Canis lupus familiaris: one gene and its partner. The protein of the gene in region 2 purifies or fractionates together with the protein of the main gene of each other region. This does not show direct contact. Links are inferred from orthologs where the notes say so. Each region holds a gene or a part of one and is shown on either strand. Other genes may lie near its edges. The genes, in order: tumor necrosis factor receptor superfamily member 10D-like and CASP8.

The links.
Region 1: the proteins of CASP8 (region 2) and tumor necrosis factor receptor superfamily member 10D-like purify together in Homo sapiens (affinity purification with western blotting; 13 studies listed by BioGRID and IntAct, counting the BioPlex papers as one, with this or other methods). This does not show direct contact. The link is inferred for Canis lupus familiaris from reciprocal best matches to the Homo sapiens genes CASP8 and TNFRSF10A.

Annotation. Positions count from the first base shown.
Region 1 is NC_049239.1:47,463,142-47,467,436, reverse strand, and holds the end of tumor necrosis factor receptor superfamily member 10D-like, read left to right. Parts: intron 1-19; coding exon 20-277; intron 278-1,229; coding exon of another isoform or gene 1,230-1,307; exon of another isoform or gene 1,308-1,329; intron 1,330-1,792; coding exon 1,793-1,835; intron 1,836-1,994; exon of another isoform or gene 1,995-2,567; intron 2,568-2,928; coding exon 2,929-3,233; 3' UTR 3,234-3,685; downstream 3,686-4,295. UniProt on the Homo sapiens protein: Receptor for the cytotoxic ligand TNFSF10/TRAIL. The adapter molecule FADD recruits caspase-8 to the activated receptor.
Region 2 is NC_049258.1:10,251,525-10,255,335, reverse strand, and holds part of CASP8 (caspase-8), read right to left. Parts: intron 3,705-3,811; coding exon 3,599-3,704; intron 2,590-3,598; coding exon 2,451-2,589; intron 2,349-2,450; coding exon 2,304-2,348; intron 1,927-2,303; coding exon 1,841-1,926; intron 268-1,840; coding exon 126-267; intron 1-125. UniProt on the Homo sapiens protein: Thiol protease that plays a key role in programmed cell death by acting as a molecular switch for apoptosis, necroptosis and pyroptosis, and is required to prevent tissue damage during embryonic development and adulthood.

The DNA of each region.
Region 1 (4,295 bases), on a different chromosome or scaffold from region 2:
TTGTCTTTGCCCTCTGCAGGTTGAGATACTGTTCCCTTCGAACCCCGAAAATCACCAGCCAGCCCTGGACATAGAAACATTGTTGCTGAAGGAGGGGCTTGAGGAAAGCCCCCACCCAAGGCCTTTGGAGGAGACCGAGGAGGGCATCGAGCTGCAGGATGTGGTGGTCAGAGAGAGCCCCCCAGCTCCAGAGCAGGTGGTACAGACTCCTGCTCTGGCTGTCTCTGTGTCACAGAACCAGAATGAAGTGTTCCCCTCCCTTAAGAGTCTGGAACAGGTACGTGAGCCAGCCAAGGGGGTCTGAGTAATGACAGCCTGTGCTCATGGAGCACTCAGTGTGTGCAGAGCTCGGTGTTAACTGGTGCCATGCATGCTTTTGCACAATTCCTGTGTGAGTTTCCTGGGACAGCTTAAACAACAGGTGTTCCTTGTCTCCGTGTCCTGGAGGCTGGAAGCCCAGGGATGGCGTGTCATCAGGGCTGCATCTGCCCGAGGCTGAGAGGGCCCATCTGTGCCAGGCCTCTGGAGTCTTTGGGGCTCCTTGGGGAAGCGTCACCCCACCCTCTGCCTCCATCCTCACGTGGCATCTCCCTATGTGCAAGTCTATGTCTTAATTTCCCCTATTTGTGAGGATACCAGTCACTGTTGGAGTGGGCCCCCCATGACCTTGTCATAACTTTCCTATCCGCCGTAACCCTGTTCCTGGCTGCAGTCACATACACAGGTTTGGAGTCTAGTGTCCAGGGGGATGCAGTTCCACCCACAGGAGCCCACAGGTGCATGACGCCACAGCCTCTGAGCGCGTGCATGTCTTGGGTTGGCACACCAACACCCGCTAAGTGGCTCTGGGGAGTAGGGCTCTTCAGGAGGAGGAGGACAGAGCCCATGTTTAGGGAATGATGCGGTCTGGCTTCTGAATCCTACAGGCAGGGCACAGGTGAGTCCCAGGGAAGAGGTCCCAGGGCTTCTGTGCCAGATGCCGTGGACCCTGGGGCCCCCTGGCATGGGTGCAGAGGTTGCAGACTGCACTGTGGAAACTGCATTCCTGGGTTGGGTGCTCTTAGGCATCATTTGAGGGAGACAGCCCCTGAGTGTCTTCAGACTCCCCGAGGCTCTGAGAGGAATCAGTACAGAAGCTGGGAGCCCTGCCAGCTCTGAGTGTCAGGAGGCAGGGGGCTCCCTCTCAGGCTGTGCCATGAGGACACCTCCCTTCTTACCCTGTTTTACAGCCAAGCAGCCAGTGCACAGAGCAGGGAGTCGTTTTCTGGGGCCAACAGCACTGGGTGCGAGGCAGAGCTGGGGTCTGAAGGCCTGGCTTTCATGTCCACAGTAGGTAGCCTGACACCGATGGGGAACCTGACCTCCCCCATAGGAGAAGTGGGCTTTGGAGCTGCGGCTCATGGGCAGCTGGGTGCAGCTGGTGTGGGCCTCCACTGGGAGACTGCATCTGAGTCTCCTAGCATCTCACTATGCATTTCTATGGACAAGTGTGCTCTCTGTTAGCATTCCCTGGAGCAGAGCAGGTCACCCCCAGGTGACAAAGTAGAGCTGTTCCCCACCTGCCCAGGCAGGGACCACTGAGCTGCCTCTGGGCCCAGGGCATGTCCTGGGGGACAGTGACCCATAGGACATAAGTGGCCGGTGAGCTCTCTGCCCCCATGGTGGATTCCTCGAAGGACATCACATATCCATAGAGGCCCACCTGCCCCCACCCTGCTCCTTCCTCAAACCAGATTGTGGTTCTGTTTCAGCCTCCTTCTCCTGGAACAATTTTATTTTTTTCCCTCCACAGGAATATGCAAAGAGATATTTTGTAAAAGATACATCAAATGAAGGTACATATTCTGAATTCCTTTTTTTTTTTAAGATTTTATTTATTTGAAAGAAAAAAAAAGATTTTATTTATTTGAAAGAGAATGCGGGGGTGGGGCATGAGCAGGGGGAAGGGAGAGGGAGTGGGGAGAAGCAGAAGCAGACTCTACTGAGCAGGGAGGTCAATGTGGGACTTAATCCCAGGACCCTGAGATCATGACTTGAGCCAAAGGCAAACACTTCACTGACAGAACCACCCAAGTGCCCCTGAATTCCTCATTTATAGCAACTGTTAAGCCTTCATCTTGCTTGGCCTATGTGTCAAGGCCTGGTGTCCTTGTTTCCAAGGACCGTGTGCCAACCTGAGATGCGCTTTTTCACACTCAAGAATGACGTTAGGGGAAACAGCACTTGTCAAACATGAGTTTTGGGGGGGGGTTCATAGAAATTAGATACCGCTTTGATTTTATCATATGTTCATGTCTTTTAAGGAGGAATGAATGGTGGTAGGAATGCTTGTACCCTTGATGAATAGGCCCTTCTTGGTGGTCATCAAAGATTGAGACCTACCACATGCCAGGTGCTTTTTGTATAGTTCATCTTCACAGGCAGCTCTACAAGACCGCCCCATTGTCCAGGCTTAAAAACACGACAGTCTGAAACTGATAGGTTGCAAAACTTGTGCCAGGTCTCAGATCCTAACCGTGGTCCCCAGCCGACACCAGGCCTTCTCAGTCTTGAGCAGCCTACAGCCTCTATCAAGAGATGTTAAGAGAGAGAAGCAGGGCAAGTGAACTGCAGCAGACTGTGGATCCCCGTGCAGCCCCCAACTGTCCCGGATCCTTGGCTCCTTCTCCCAAGCTCCAGTGATGAGCAATAAGCAGGGCAAGAGCTGTGGCCCCACCTCAGTATCCTGGCCTCGTACCCAATCTGTGACATTGGTAGGGGGTCGCACAGGACCTTCTACCTCCTGGGTATGGTGTGCTAGCTGTCGCCCAGTCCCCAGGGGACAGGAGGAGACACCTGTGATTGCACCCCTGGGGAGTAGTGACAAGAGGTGCCACACAGTCCTCCCAGAAATGTAAAGTGGTTTTTTTTTGTTCTTATTTCTTTCAGGTACCACCAGGCTCTATTATGAATTTGAAGAAATGATCCTGGACAAGAACTGGAAATCTCTGATGAGACTTATCGGTCTTGAAGAAAAGGACATTGAAACTTGCGAGCACGAAAACCCAGACAATTTGACGGAGCAGCATCATAAGATGCTCCTCAGGTGGAGGAACAAGCTGGGAAGGGAAGCCTCAGTTTTTAAACTGTTGGCTGCCCTACATAAAATGCAGCTGCATATGTGTTTGGAAAATATTATCAACGTACTACTTGTTGAAGGCATCTTAGGCAGGCATGCAGAGACCTCAGATTAAACTTTTGGCATGGGATTATGCCTTCACACAGGATCTGACCTATGCCAATGTCTACCTTTTGGAAACTTCTCAGTTTTCAGTTAGAAAGAATCATGTGCGTCCATTAACAGTGTCTCACTACATTTTAGTGAGAGTGCTTCCTGCCAAGATTAGTTGTGGGAATCACCCGTGGCCAAGGTGTAACCAGGGGTGAGCAGGTCCTCACTAGATTAACATTCCTCAGGGAACTTTCCCCAAGGGAAATTGTTTTTCTATTTAAAACAATGTAGCTGCTTGTGCTGAAGTCTTTTATGTCCAGGATGTGAATGAAATGCACAGGATATAAATGAAATGCAGTATTCCTCAATCACACCTTAGTGACTGCTTTCAGTCACTGACCACAATAAGCGAAGCATTTAATTTTATTGTAAAGTTAGCATTAGTTTAGTAAGTATAAGTTTTTCTGTTGTGTTTTCCTGTGTTTGTGGTTTTTTTTTTGTATTTATTTTGATACTGTGCAGGAGTGGAGGGCAGAGGGGGAGGGAAAGGGGAGGAGAAAGTTTAAGCAAGCTGCCCAGCCTGATGGCGGGCTCCACTACATTCAAATCAAAAGCCACATGCTTAACCAATGGAGCCAGTCAAGCACTTTTGTTATTTATTTTTAATAAAATTTTTATCTTAAATAATGTTTCCTCTTCTTTCCGGTGTGTACACAACTTTGGGTGTGCTATCCCTGGCAGGGGGTATCGTGCACAGAGGAAGACATGGACCCCCAGGATTTAATTTGCCAGTGGGAGGGCTCTGGCATGGGGGTCCAAAGCTGCAGAAGCCTCTTTTGGTTTGTGTTCCCCAGGGGTCTCTATGTCCAGAAATACTCATGCCTCAGAATGTGAGCTCTGCTCTGCCCTCCTCACCCCAAACATCAGTTCCTGGATGTGTTCACAGATTAGCCTGCTTATTTCCATTCAGTACCAAGCCTTTGACTTCCAGTGAAAGTAAATGTTACAATCACTCTGCTAACCCAGAGGTGGTTCGCTACCAACTCCCTTGTCTCCCAGGCCTCACCCAGGGCTTGCTGCTTTG
Region 2 (3,811 bases):
AATATGATTACATTCATTTTTTTTCTGAAACATGAGGCCCTGTTGGTACAATTTTTGTTCTCACCTTTTGATTAAAAAACTTATATATTAGAAATATTTCACTTCTTTTCAGGGTTCTACTGTACCTGCATCCAAGTCTGTTCCATTCCTATCCTTAATGCTCTGAAGTTTGGGCACTTCCCTCCGTGCTACACTAAAATCATAATTGTTGAAGATCAAACAATATCCTCGAGGTTTGCTTTTCATTCGGTAAACTTTGTCCGATGTCTGGAAAACAAAAATCCAGCCCAAGAGCTGACTCTGTGAGTCAAACACTTGGGATGTGAACAAATAACTCCCTAGTAAGAAGTGAGGCTGTCCTCTTAGCCAAACGGGGACACAAGTGCACTTTCCATGGCCCTACCCCAACTTGACATTATTTCTCTGGTGAATTAGTTTCCACCTGTTCCTTTGACACGGAATCCCCACATTTCTGCCCCACAGTTGTGTGTAAAATCAGTGTCCCAGTACTTGGGCCTCTTGAGCACTTTGCACATATATTAACACTGTTGTCATCATAACATATTTTCACCATTTGTTCTTGTTTCTGCTCAAGACAACTAACAGCTGTGCCAGGAACTAGACTGTATTAATTTGTGAGCATTCAATCAGGAAAATGCTGAGTGGATGAATGTCTTAATGCTGTCTCTGGGCTGCCTATTGTCACCTCATGCTTCCACTGGCCATCTAGTCAACTCATCTATGTTTCTAGGCTAACAGCCCAGGGCCTGCCCTTCACACATGACATCGTACGGTCTGAGGATTTTGAAAGCCAATGACTTAATTTGGCTCTCAGGACCACAGGGACTGAAAGAGAGAGATGTACTAGCCAGGCAGGTCTTGCCTAACTGCAGGTTACAGTATCCTGTGTCCTGACTTTCCCAGGGTTGTTTCAATGCTGAGATACTCAGCATTTACTGGGAAACCCATGCAACTCCTCGAGGTAGAGAAAAGGGCTCCACACTAAAGGCTCAAATTCCTGGTTCTACTACTTAATAATCTTAAGACTTTGTGCAATTACCTAATCTTTCTGGCACTCAGGACGGTTAGCTGTTCAGTGGGGACATGAACACTCAGTAGAGTGCTTTACTATTTGCAAAGTGCGACATGACTTTGGTCAATCCTCGATTTTCAGGGCTAGGTAGGTCTGGTGATTTGCTCAGGAGCCCACTCATAACTGGTCTCTCTCAGTTTAATTTCAAGTCTCCCCCTGGACAGGTAGCATTCAGGTTTTCCTCTGCTTCCTGCCACAGAGAGGAAGTAAAAAGGGCTAATGGATCAAAATGTGGTTGGTGAATCTTTGACGGTTAATAAACCCAAATGATTATGTCTAGAAAGGCGATTCTTTCCCCAGCTCATTGAGATGAGAACATAGAGACGGCTAGATCATGAGTATTTGTTGCTTACCCCTAAATCAGCACAGAGAAACAGTTTTGAAATGTCACCCTAAAAGAAAAGGCTTTGCTTTTCCCAGTCCCACTACACTTTTCTCCCAAAGCCTTCTCCCGCTTCAGCAGGGCAGATGCTGAAAGGGTTGCCAGGAGGCTTCTCGATTCCTCAGCCCTCCAACTATTCCAATGCCTTTGTCTTTGGATTTAAAATAAAATTTTAATGCTTGTTACTTTTAAAACTTAAGAAAATCACATGTTAAATTTGTCTGTTTGTGAAAATTTTCTATACTTCTCAAAATTTCCAGGAAGCATCTGCCTCTTACTAGTTTATCTGGAAACTTGAAAGCTAAGGAATACAAGAACTAGAATCTGCAATCCAAAGAGAAAAAGGAGTCTGAATTTCTACACACCTCTGATTCATAGTCCTGTTCTCCTAGAGAGTCCGACATTGGCAATATCTTCACGGATCCCTCCCTTATAGGCAACTGAGACATATCTGGAATGAGACATAGAAGGGAGGGTATTTTGGTAAAGAAACACATAGCACCAAGGATACCATAAGGTCCCCTTTAAAATGAAAATTCATGGACTACCTTGAACATAATATCCTTGCAGTCCACAGAATAAAAATTGTTTTACTAACTCTTCACCTATTTTAAACTTGTCAGCCTGGGGCTGAAGGCCTATGTCTTTTGACAATAGTTGTGTATCTTTCAACATGTAGAGAGTGACAAGTAGGCACCAAGCCGCCTACTTGGTAGTAGGTATCACGTCCATTAAGATGTGGACGTGATAGAAGGTTGTGGGGAGAGGAAGCAATGGGGGTATCTGATAATAAATTAACTGAATAAGTCTTAACATATTTCATATTACCATTTGAAATTTCATCTAGACTTCTTTGAAGGTTCATTGTTTGCTCTGAATTAAAAAAGAAACATTTGATTAGAAATAATTGTGACAGAGGGATCTGTCAATTTAAGAATACATTTTGCTAATTCACAGTAGTCAAGTTATTTCTACCTCTGTTTAATTCTTCGTAATCTGTGATTTTCTTCAGCAGGCTTTTGTTGATTTGGTCACAGATTCTTTTCAGGGTGTCCAAATTTCTTTCCCCTAGAATGACCCTCTTCTCCATCTCTATGAAAATATCAAGCAAGTTCTAGAAGGAAGAGAAGTAAAGTTGGAAGACTGGATTGAGACATACTGGTTTTTAGATTAGATTTTCTTTCTTTCTTTCTTTCTTTCTTTCTTTCTTTCTTTCTTTCTTTCTTTCTTTCTTCTTTCTTTCTTTCTTTTTCTTTCTTTCTTTCTTTCTCTCTCTTTCTTTCTTTCTTTCTTTCTTTCTTTCTTTCTTTCTTTCTTTCTTTCTCTCTCTCTCTCTCTCTCTTTCTTTCTTTCTTTCTTTCTTTCATTCATTCATTCATTCCACTTTCTCCAAACAGAGGGCCTACTCTAGTTTCCCAAACTAACCCTCCTGACAGGACATCCCAGTCTTATAAAGCCAGTAGAGCACTAGTGAAGCAATTCTGTGTTGTATGGCCCAAGAAGACAGAAATGAGAAGGTAGAGGAAAAGTGACATCAGGTGTCACCCAGGCCCCAAGCCCTGTGCTGAAATCAGCCATGGACACCATTAGGTGAAGTTGTGAAACAGCTTGAGGTGCATGGCTGAGACAAGGTAGCCTGGTCCCCATAGTGACAGCCCTGGGAGCTGCGTCTCTCCTGACACTGCCTCTGGTCCCTGATCCACCTCCAGTCCCACGTTCACACACACACACTCACACACACACACACGTACACACATGCATGCACACGCACATGCACATATACAGAGTTTCAGGTCCCAGGTGGTTTCAGAGACTGCAGAAGTGGGAAGATGTCTCCAGCTCACCACAGTCCTTCCCCACATTGGGCTATGCTTCCACCACCAGTCTTCTTTCCGAGCTACTGACTCTGCCCTGCTCCTGATAATTAATGTGAGCAGTACTTCACAGTATACAAAGGAATTGTATCTGCAACACTGGGGCCCAACAACATTTTCCTTTCCCCTAGTTAAAAAGTGAGAGTCCAGGTTGCTTTTACTGGACCAGCCCTCTCTCCAGTCGCAGCAGTCCCCACTGACTGGCCCAACCTCAGGACCAGATCTTGGTGAAACATCACCAGGGCTTACCAAATCATCATCCAATTTACATCTGGAGATCTCCCGGCTCAAGAGAAACTTAAAGGATTTCAATTCCAATTTGCTTACATCTTCTGAAATCTGAAAAAGCATGACCCTGTGGTGGGAAATGGAGACACTTTAGAAATGGCTTCTCAGATAATTTCCCATTTGACAAAAGGAGTTGCAGTGGAAACTTGATTCTGGTCACCACTCCTTAAAGAC